Linked DNA regions of Neurospora crassa OR74A. Each later gene encodes a partner of the first gene's protein in a complex. Links are inferred from orthologs where the notes say so. Each region holds a gene or a part of one and is shown on either strand. Other genes may lie near its edges.

Region 1 (4,213 bases):
TCCTTCTCCTCGGCCTTGCCAGCGGCAGGGGCAGCCTCGGTGGAAGCGGCGGGAGCGGCGGAAGCATAAGCCTCGGGGTTGGCAATGCGATCCTTGAGCTCCTCGATCTCGGGCCAGCTGATCTCGGTCTCGATAGCGACGGCAAGAACCTTCTTGTAGGCGTTGACGACGGAGTGGATGACGGAGGGAAGAGTGGGGAAGTTGAGAGCGAGCGAGAGGCTGGCAATGGTGGTGATGGCAGTGGAGAAAGCCTTGAGGAGCTGCTCCTCAGAGATGTCAAGGACATCGGAGGGGAAGGTGTTGCCCTGGTCGTAGACCTGAGCGATGCCCATACCGTAGGTGAAGGGAGAGATGTTGAGCATGTTCAACAGGGTAGCCTCAGAGGGGCCGACCTTGGCGCCAGCCTCAACGAGCTTGAGATCGGTGGTGATTTCAATGGTACCACGGGCGATCTTGGTGGGGACACCGAGGGCCTGGAAGAAAGAGGTCTTGCCGGGTTCCATACCGGTGTTGCCAGCGGGGATCCAGACATCGGCAGGGGCGATGGCACCGGCACGAGCGGGGGCAGCGACCTTGTTGGCGAGGATCTTGTCACGGACCTCCTTGAGGTCGCCGTTGGTGAAGACGAAACCAACGTTGCCCTTGACGAAGGGGAGGAGACGCTCGTACTCGGGGGTGTCGGCGACGAAGGTCTTGAGGGCACGGCGAACCTGTAATGGGTGTTAATTTCTGGGCTTCCCGAAGCGCGACGCTCTTGCGACAACGGGCAACGTACCATGGTGTTCTTGCCCATCAAGACGACAGCCTCACCGCGGAGGGACTGTCTGATCTCGTGCATCTGCTGAGAGCTGACATTGTCGACGGAGACGATGAAGATGGACCGGTAATCCTCCAACAAGCCCTTCAGCTTGTCGAAGTAACCGGCCTTGTTAGCAGACTTGCCCCCCATATCTTCTTTTAGCACGAAGGCAGGATGTTTAAGGGCAAGAGGAGTTCTCTTGTTTAATTTGGTGGTGAAGTTGGAGTTGGTATGGTGACCGGAGGAGAGATTCTGGAAGCCGGACAAAATTTCGGGCGCGCGCAATTGACTTGGTTGATCCGTCTGTGGGAAGCGAGGGGTGAGTGTGGCCCGTGCGGCCGTTGGGGTGCTAGGGCTCGAGTGGGGTTGGCCAATCAGACGGTCAGAAACAAGCACCTCGACTGGAATGTTGTCTTGGCAGGTACCCCAGTACAAAATCGTCAAAATAGCGGCATCAGTTGAGCCTCACGGCACTGCAACGACGCTGCAGTGTATGGCTCGCCTGCTGTACAGCCACGTGTGGCTCAGTAAATAAGTCTGTTCGAGACTTTCTTCAAAGTTCACTCTCACTCATCAAGCATTGCAGTCACTACGTACTTACCATACCCGGAGTGAGGCTGCATCACAACTCCGAATATCAAGTTTGTAGACACCTTCCGCATGTAGCAATTGTCGTATACTAACGAATGCACTCACAGAATCACACTCGACGATCAAAGACGCAAGTGCACTCGATCTCACTTTGCCTGGCCTCAGCATTGAATTTCATATCTACCACCCATAGCCTCTAAGACCCACATCATCAAAATGGCCTTGCCATACCACGTCCTCAAAGTGTGCGACGGCATTGTTTTTGCAGCTCGCGGAAGCAACATTCACTCATTCGACTCCAACTTCAACCCCATCTCAGTATGGAAGTACCCCGTCAAGCAGCAAGAGACCAACGGAGAGAAGGCCGAGAGCGAGACCCCAGCTCCTGTCGTAGAAGCCGAAGAATCACCCGCTCCAGAAGGCCCCCCTGTCAAGAAGAGGAAAGTGGAAGATGGCGAGGTGGTAGCTGTCACGGAAGAGAACAAGGAGGAATCCAAGGAGGACACCACTGAAGGCCAAACTGAGACCAAGACTGAAAGCCAGACCCAAGAAGTGAACAGACGCAGCAGGCGGCAAAAGCAGAAGCAAAAGACCGAGGGCGGTTGGGCGAAGAACAACAAGGCTGTCCTCGAGAAGCCCTTCGTCCAGGGCATGTACCTCACCACCGACGGCCGTCATCTCGTTGCTATTACCGGGTCCGACAAGACCATCTGGGTGTTTGAACACGATGGTGCCGGAAACCTCAAGCAGCTGAGCCAAAGAGCCATGCCCAAGCGTCCTTGCGCCCTCGCCCTTACGCCCGACGATAAGACCATTCTCTCGGCCGACAAATTCGGCGACGTCTTTTCCCTCCCTCTTCTCTTTACGCCCGCCGAGCCAACGGCTGCAGCTGATGTTACCACCACTGCCTCCGAGGTCGCTACCCCCGAACCCACTCCCTCCGCCCCGGCCACTCCCGCTATCCCTACTCCTCCCACCACCGACGTCGCCAAGGCCCAATCCCTTTCTGTCAAGCCGCAAGCCAACGAGCTCACCGTGCACACGCTCCGTAACCTCAAGGCGCTGGAGAACCAGAAGCGCTGCCTGGAGCGCCAGAAGGCGGCCAAGCTCGCCGCCGCCCTGCAGGCCTCGCAATTCGAGCACACGCTCCAGCTGGGTCACGTCTCCATGCTCACCTCGGTGGCCGTGGCCGTGCACCCCAGCCACCCCGGCCGGACGTACATCATCACGGCCGACAGGGACGAGCACATCCGCGTGAGCCGGGGCATCCCGCAGGCACACGTAATCGAGGGCTTCCTTTTGGGCCACGACGAGTTTGTGAGTCGGGTGTGCATTCCCGAGGCGCGCAGGGACGTGTTGATCAGCGGCGGTGGTGATGACGATCTGTTTATGTGGGACTGGGTCAGCGGTAAGCTGCTGGGTAAGGCGCCGGTGTTGGCGGAGGTGAAGAAGGCGCTCCCGAGCGCTGAGGATGCGGAGAAGGTCACCAAGGTTGCGGTGACGAGGATTTTCGATGTTCAGCAGGGTGCAAAGACGCAGATCTTTGTGATTTGTGAACGGTACGTCAAGCTATTCATTTCTTTTTCCAATGTTGGGCAATGTGCATCGGCGGCTGACGGAAATGACAGCATCCCCCTTCTTCTGATTTTTACCCTCACCTCCACCAACACCTTACAACACACGCAAACTCTCTCGCTCCTCGGCAACCCGCTAGATGTCGAGTATCTCAAGGCCGAGTCTAAGCTCCTCGTGTCCATTGATCCCAATACCTCGTCCGAGACCCAGGAGGAAGAAGCCAGTAACGGCGGTGTGTCTTCTATCCTCGCTCTGTCATTTGATGATTCCGAGTCGAGCTGGAAGGTGACTATTGGTGGTCTGAAGGCCACGGAAGCGGCTGAAGAAGAAAGCAGCAGTTTGAGTCCCCAAGACTTGCAGAAGCTTTTGTATACCACAGAGAGCTTGAGGAAGACGAATAAAGATGACGAGTAAGTTGGAAGAAATCACCGGATAGATAAAATTGACTAGAGTATACTTCAAGCCTACTTCGTATGCGCTAGATTCCTCTCGCTTTGATCGCCCATTGGCATCTCTCTGCCCAACCCGACATACGTTTGATTTCGCACCTACCCGCTTTCGTCAAAGACCATCAGCGCCCTCCCTCCTCTTCTTTCGCTCAGCTCGTCTCACCTACCACCAACTTGCCAATGGTGATGATGTGCCGTATGACCAGGCCTCAAGGTATTCGGCCTGATTGGTTCCCAATGGTTCATCCACGGCAACGGCCCTCCTCCACCCATATCCCCCAGTCCTCCTGTTGTACCAGGCTGTCTTCCCGCGGCAGCCCATGGTCTCTCCATGCTAGGCAATGATCTGCCCCCCGCGTCCATCCTGCCCATTCCCAAACCCATACCGCTCATATAACCACCCATCCCAGGCGGCGGCCCTTGAAGCCCGGAACTCTGGTACTGAGTCTGGTAGAAATCCTCCTCCCTCCTTGCCGCCATCTCCACCAACACGGCGGTCACGATCTCCGGGTTCTGATGCAACCAGTCCCCGATCTCCTCGTCCGTTTCTTTTCGAGTCGTCATACCCTCCTCATCGCCATGCCCACTCCTGCGTCTCTTTCCATTTTCATTGATCCTTTCCCCATTCCCACCATGAACCCCATCTCTATTTCCACTTCCATATACATACCCGCTGCTCCTGCTTCTCCAAGGCTGCAGAAACCCCACCCTAGCAAACACCATTTTAAGTAGAGGATCGCTCTCCGGCAGGCCCTCCCATAGCCGCTTGCACAAGAACAGCACCTGCGGCACCGCCGCG
Region 2 (3,737 bases), on another chromosome or scaffold:
CACCTCCAGCGCCGGCACCCTGGATGATGAGGGGGTTGCTTCCATACCGCTTAGTGTAGAAGCTAATGATGTTGTCACTGCCCTTGAGGGCCGCGATGGGGTGAGAGAGGTCAAACTTCTCCAGCCCGACCTTGACCTGCTTGCTGGCCACGTCGATGCTGCCGACGAAGCGGACAACCTTGCCCTCCTTCTGCGCCTCGGCCTTGACCTCCTCCATCTCGGCATCGAACTCGGGCAGGCGGGCGAGGAACTCGTCGCCGCTGGCGACCGACTCGAGCTGCTTGGGGATCAGGCTCTGCACGGGGAAGGACGTGGGCGACTCGACCTCGAGGCCAGCGTAGCGAGCGAGGATGGTCAGCTTGCGCGCAACATCGAGACCGTTGAGGTCATCGCGCGGGTCGGGCTCCGTGTAGCCCAGCTCCTTGGCCTTGGCCACCTCGGCGGACCACTTGCCGCCGCCCGAGCCCGATGTCGGAGCGAACGAATTGAACAGGAAGGACATGGTGCCGCTGAAGACGCCCTCGATCTTGGTCACCTCGTCGCCCGTCTCAACCAGGTCCTTGATGGTGGAGATGACGGGCAGGCCGGCACCGCACGAGGCCTCATGGTACAGCAAAGAACCACCCTCCTCCTTGGCGGCGAAGATGTCCTGCCACAACTTGTACGAGCCCGAGAAGGCCTTCTTGTTAGGCGTCACGATGCTGATGCCGCGGCGAAGGAAGCTGGGGTAGGCATCGGCGATGTCCTGGGAGCTGGTGTTGTCGACGAGGACCGTCTTGGTGCCCGAGGCGGCGAGGTAGTCGACGAGCTTCGGGAGGGCAAGGGGAGCCTGCGACGAGGAGGAGAGGGTCGAGACGACGCTGTCGAGGGCGATGGGCGAGTATGAGTCGCTGTAGACGGCCTTCTTGCTGGTGGCAATGTAGGTGAGCACCAGCTTCTGGTTCTGGCGGCGAGCGGCCAGCGACTCGAGCTGGGAGAGGAAGCACTTTCCTACTCCACCGGCGCCTGGAAGATGGGAAGGTCAAGGTTAGCAGCGAGGGACGTCGGGGTTGGACGGTCTGGGCTGATGTGGCGCAATTGGGGTACAGGTAATTGCCTACCGATGATGGCAATGTTGACTTGACGAGCTGAAGCCATTGTGTCTATGTAATCTTGATTACGCAGTATAAGAGAGATGGGAATGATCAAGTAAGGTACACTTCTTGATCCGCTTGATTGAGATGGAAATAGTTGACGACCCTGACTCAACTGATAACTGATACTGCAATCTCGTGGGGTTCTTGGGTACCTACCGTGCTAGATTTTAATGGAAAAGTGTCGCCATGTTGGACTGCCGATAGCGGGGCGGCCGTCCGAATCCAGGCCCGAGTTTCGGGAGCTTCATCCTTGTAACCTTCAATTGCTTCAGAGGGACGTGTTTGTAACGGTGGGTATTGCATAGTTTACACGTAGGTTACCTACGCTAAGGATTTTCGAATCTTACGAGTACCGCTTTTCCCCTGCAGGAACACCCTTGGGGTATTTTTTTGCAGCAACACGGGAACCTTGGCTTCCAGATTTGCTTCGCTACCTACACTACACCGGGGATGAAACTTTTGTGAGAGTCGATTCGGAGTCGCTCTCAGTCTCACTTGTTTCCCTATTGGATCCAACAGACTTATTGACTGCACAACAACCGACAGACTTCAGTTTTTTTTAGACCACAAAACCATTCAATTCAGCAGCCATCATGTCCGAACCCAAGAACAAGCGTCAAAAGCGCGAGGATTACCGTGCCGCCCTCCGCGCCAATGGAGTCACTGAGCTGCCGCGCAAGAAGTTCTACCGTCAGAGGGCTCATGCCAACCCTTTCTCCGATCACTCATTGATCTAGTAAGATGGCTTCCATGTGAAGAGATCATTGTTTCCATGCTCTTGAATTAACGACCATCTAGTCCCCCTACGCCAGAGCAGATGGATTGGGCTTCTCTCTATCCTCACTACGCAGTTGAAGAGCCGATTGAGCAAAAGACCGAGACAACTGAGTCTGAGGAATCCACGGGTCAAGAGTTGTCGGCTCCTGCCATCAGGAAGTTGACCAAGCAGGTTGAGGTTGCAGATATAGGCTGCGGTTTTGGTGGTCTGCTCATAGCTCTGGCTCCCGTACTTCCCGAGACTCTTGTTCTAGGTAAGAGTGTTTGACACCCTTCACTTCGTCGATCTGATACTGACTGTGTGAACTCAGGCCTGGAGATTCGTGTCTCGGTAACACAGTTTGTGGAAGACAGAATCAAAGCCCTGCGTGTACAAAACGAGGAGCAAAAGCTGTACCGCAACATTGCCGTACTGCGCGCCAACACGATGAAGTTTATGCCCAACTTTTTCAACAAGGGCCAACTGAACAAGATCTTCATCTGCTTCCCGGATCCGCACTTCAAGGCGCGCAAGCACAAGCAGAGAATTGTTTCCACGACGCTCAACTCAGAGTACGCGTACGTGCTGCGCCCCGGCGGCATTGTGTATACCATCACGGATGTGCCTGACCTGCACGAGTGGATGGTTGGACACTTCAACGCGCACCCGGCCTTTGAAAGGGTGTCGGTAGAGGAGCAGGAGGCTGATCCGCTAGTCGAGATTATGCGCAACGAGACTGAGGAAGGAAAGAAGGTGACCAGGCATAATGGGCAGAAGCATGTTGCTCTTTTCAGGAGGCTGGAGGATCCTCAGTGGCCCGAGGATGTTTCTGCTTGAGCGCGTTCTGGGACATGGAAGGGAGGCTATGGATGTGGACAAAATGCACAATGTTGGTGATACCCGCGTTGATTGGGTTACTGCGAGAGTCAAGTACCTTGAGGCGGAAGCCTTCCTATATGGCGCCCTATGCTGGGGTATATGTCCGGTGTTCACGATATGGTGATGGTGAAGCGGCATGTCTCTGCAGTAAATGACCCCAACTGACCCCCACCCGGGTTACGGACAAGATGACATGTAACTTTGCGCGTAAAATACAGAAACTCGACGGTGGTGTAACGGTGCCCACCGGACGTTCAGTGACTGGACCCCTGGAGAACCCGCGGGCCTCTTGGTCAGACATATGGCATCGCACCACTGGCTCACTAACGCGGTTTAGCATGGCGGCGGCAATGGACTTGCCGGCTAGTGTTAGTGTCTAGTAGAGGCCAGAGCTCTAGTCTAGAGTATGGTACTAAACAGCCCACGAATGTCTATGGCCCAACCCCCCCGCCTGCCTCACCCGCGACACTCCTCACACCGAACCACTTCCACATCGAACTGGCGATAAAACCATGCGGCGACGACAAGCGCCAAATGTCTGCGCTGGAGTATGGCAATGGTTCTTCAAGGAAGAGACATAGCCCTTGCTGCAATTGCTGCTTTCATTTCCTGGGGATATGCTGTCCATTGGTTCCCCGCCATCCGCTGGGCTAACTATGCCTTTGCCGCCGGCGTCCTCGTTACCCTCGTCGGCCTGCTTGCCCTGCTCATGCTTACCTCTCGTGGATCGCATCACCACCGACTCCGACCACCACCACGGCCCCATGGCGCGGCCTTCGTTGCCCCAGGCTCTTGGTCAAAGGAGGTGGCCGCTCTTCGGGCACGCCAGACGTCCACCAAAGCACCGCTCTACCCCGAGTCCCCCAAGGTCTCGGCAGCTCTCGACGAGGTTCTGGGCTACGTCATCCGCGATTTCATACAAGTGTGGTATTCGAGCATCAGCAAGAACCCTGTCTTTACGGATG

The links.
Region 2: the proteins of NCU07409 (region 1) and NCU03936 are in contact, whole or in part, in a crystal structure (PDB 2VDU), measured with the Saccharomyces cerevisiae proteins. The link is inferred for Neurospora crassa OR74A from reciprocal best matches to the Saccharomyces cerevisiae genes TRM82 and TRM8. Residues at the interface, in NP_010449.1 of Saccharomyces cerevisiae: Asp172, Glu189, Leu192, Gly193, His194, Val195, Ser196, Asp208, His210, Asp219, Glu220, His221, Lys223, His226, Gln229, Cys230, Phe231, Ile232, Val233, Asp234, Lys235, Trp236, Phe238, Gly239, Lys241; in NP_010080.1 of Saccharomyces cerevisiae: Tyr69, Val71, Ser72, Pro73, Met163, Lys164, Phe165, Pro167, Asn168, Lys172, Asn199, Thr200, Leu201, Ser203, Glu204, Tyr207, His235, Pro236, Leu237, Thr282, Pro283, Ile285, Leu286.

What each region holds. Positions count from the first base shown.
Region 1 is NC_026501.1:6,036,496-6,040,708, reverse strand, and holds NCU07409 (hypothetical protein), read left to right. Parts: upstream 1-1,376; 5' UTR 1,377-1,440; intron 1,441-1,497; 5' UTR 1,498-1,606; coding exon 1,607-2,949; intron 2,950-3,018; coding exon 3,019-3,379; 3' UTR 3,380-3,480; downstream 3,481-4,213. Other genes in the region: po (60S ribosomal protein P0, variant), read right to left, coding at 1-710, 776-949; NCU07410 (hypothetical protein), read right to left, coding at 3,574-4,213. UniProt on the Saccharomyces cerevisiae protein: Required for the formation of N(7)-methylguanine at position 46 (m7G46) in tRNA, a modification required to maintain stability of tRNAs; its absence resulting in tRNA decay.
Region 2 is NC_026506.1:2,174,350-2,178,086, forward strand, and holds NCU03936 (tRNA methyltransferase), read left to right. Parts: upstream 1-1,511; 5' UTR 1,512-1,729; coding exon 1,730-1,872; intron 1,873-1,934; coding exon 1,935-2,167; intron 2,168-2,224; coding exon 2,225-2,730; 3' UTR 2,731-3,189; downstream 3,190-3,737. Other genes in the region: NCU03935 (homoserine dehydrogenase), read right to left, coding at 1-1,005, 1,101-1,137; NCU03937 (intermediate filament protein), read left to right, coding at 3,323-3,737. UniProt on the Saccharomyces cerevisiae protein: Methyltransferase that catalyzes the formation of N(7)-methylguanine at position 46 (m7G46) in tRNA, a modification required to maintain stability of tRNAs; its absence resulting in tRNA decay.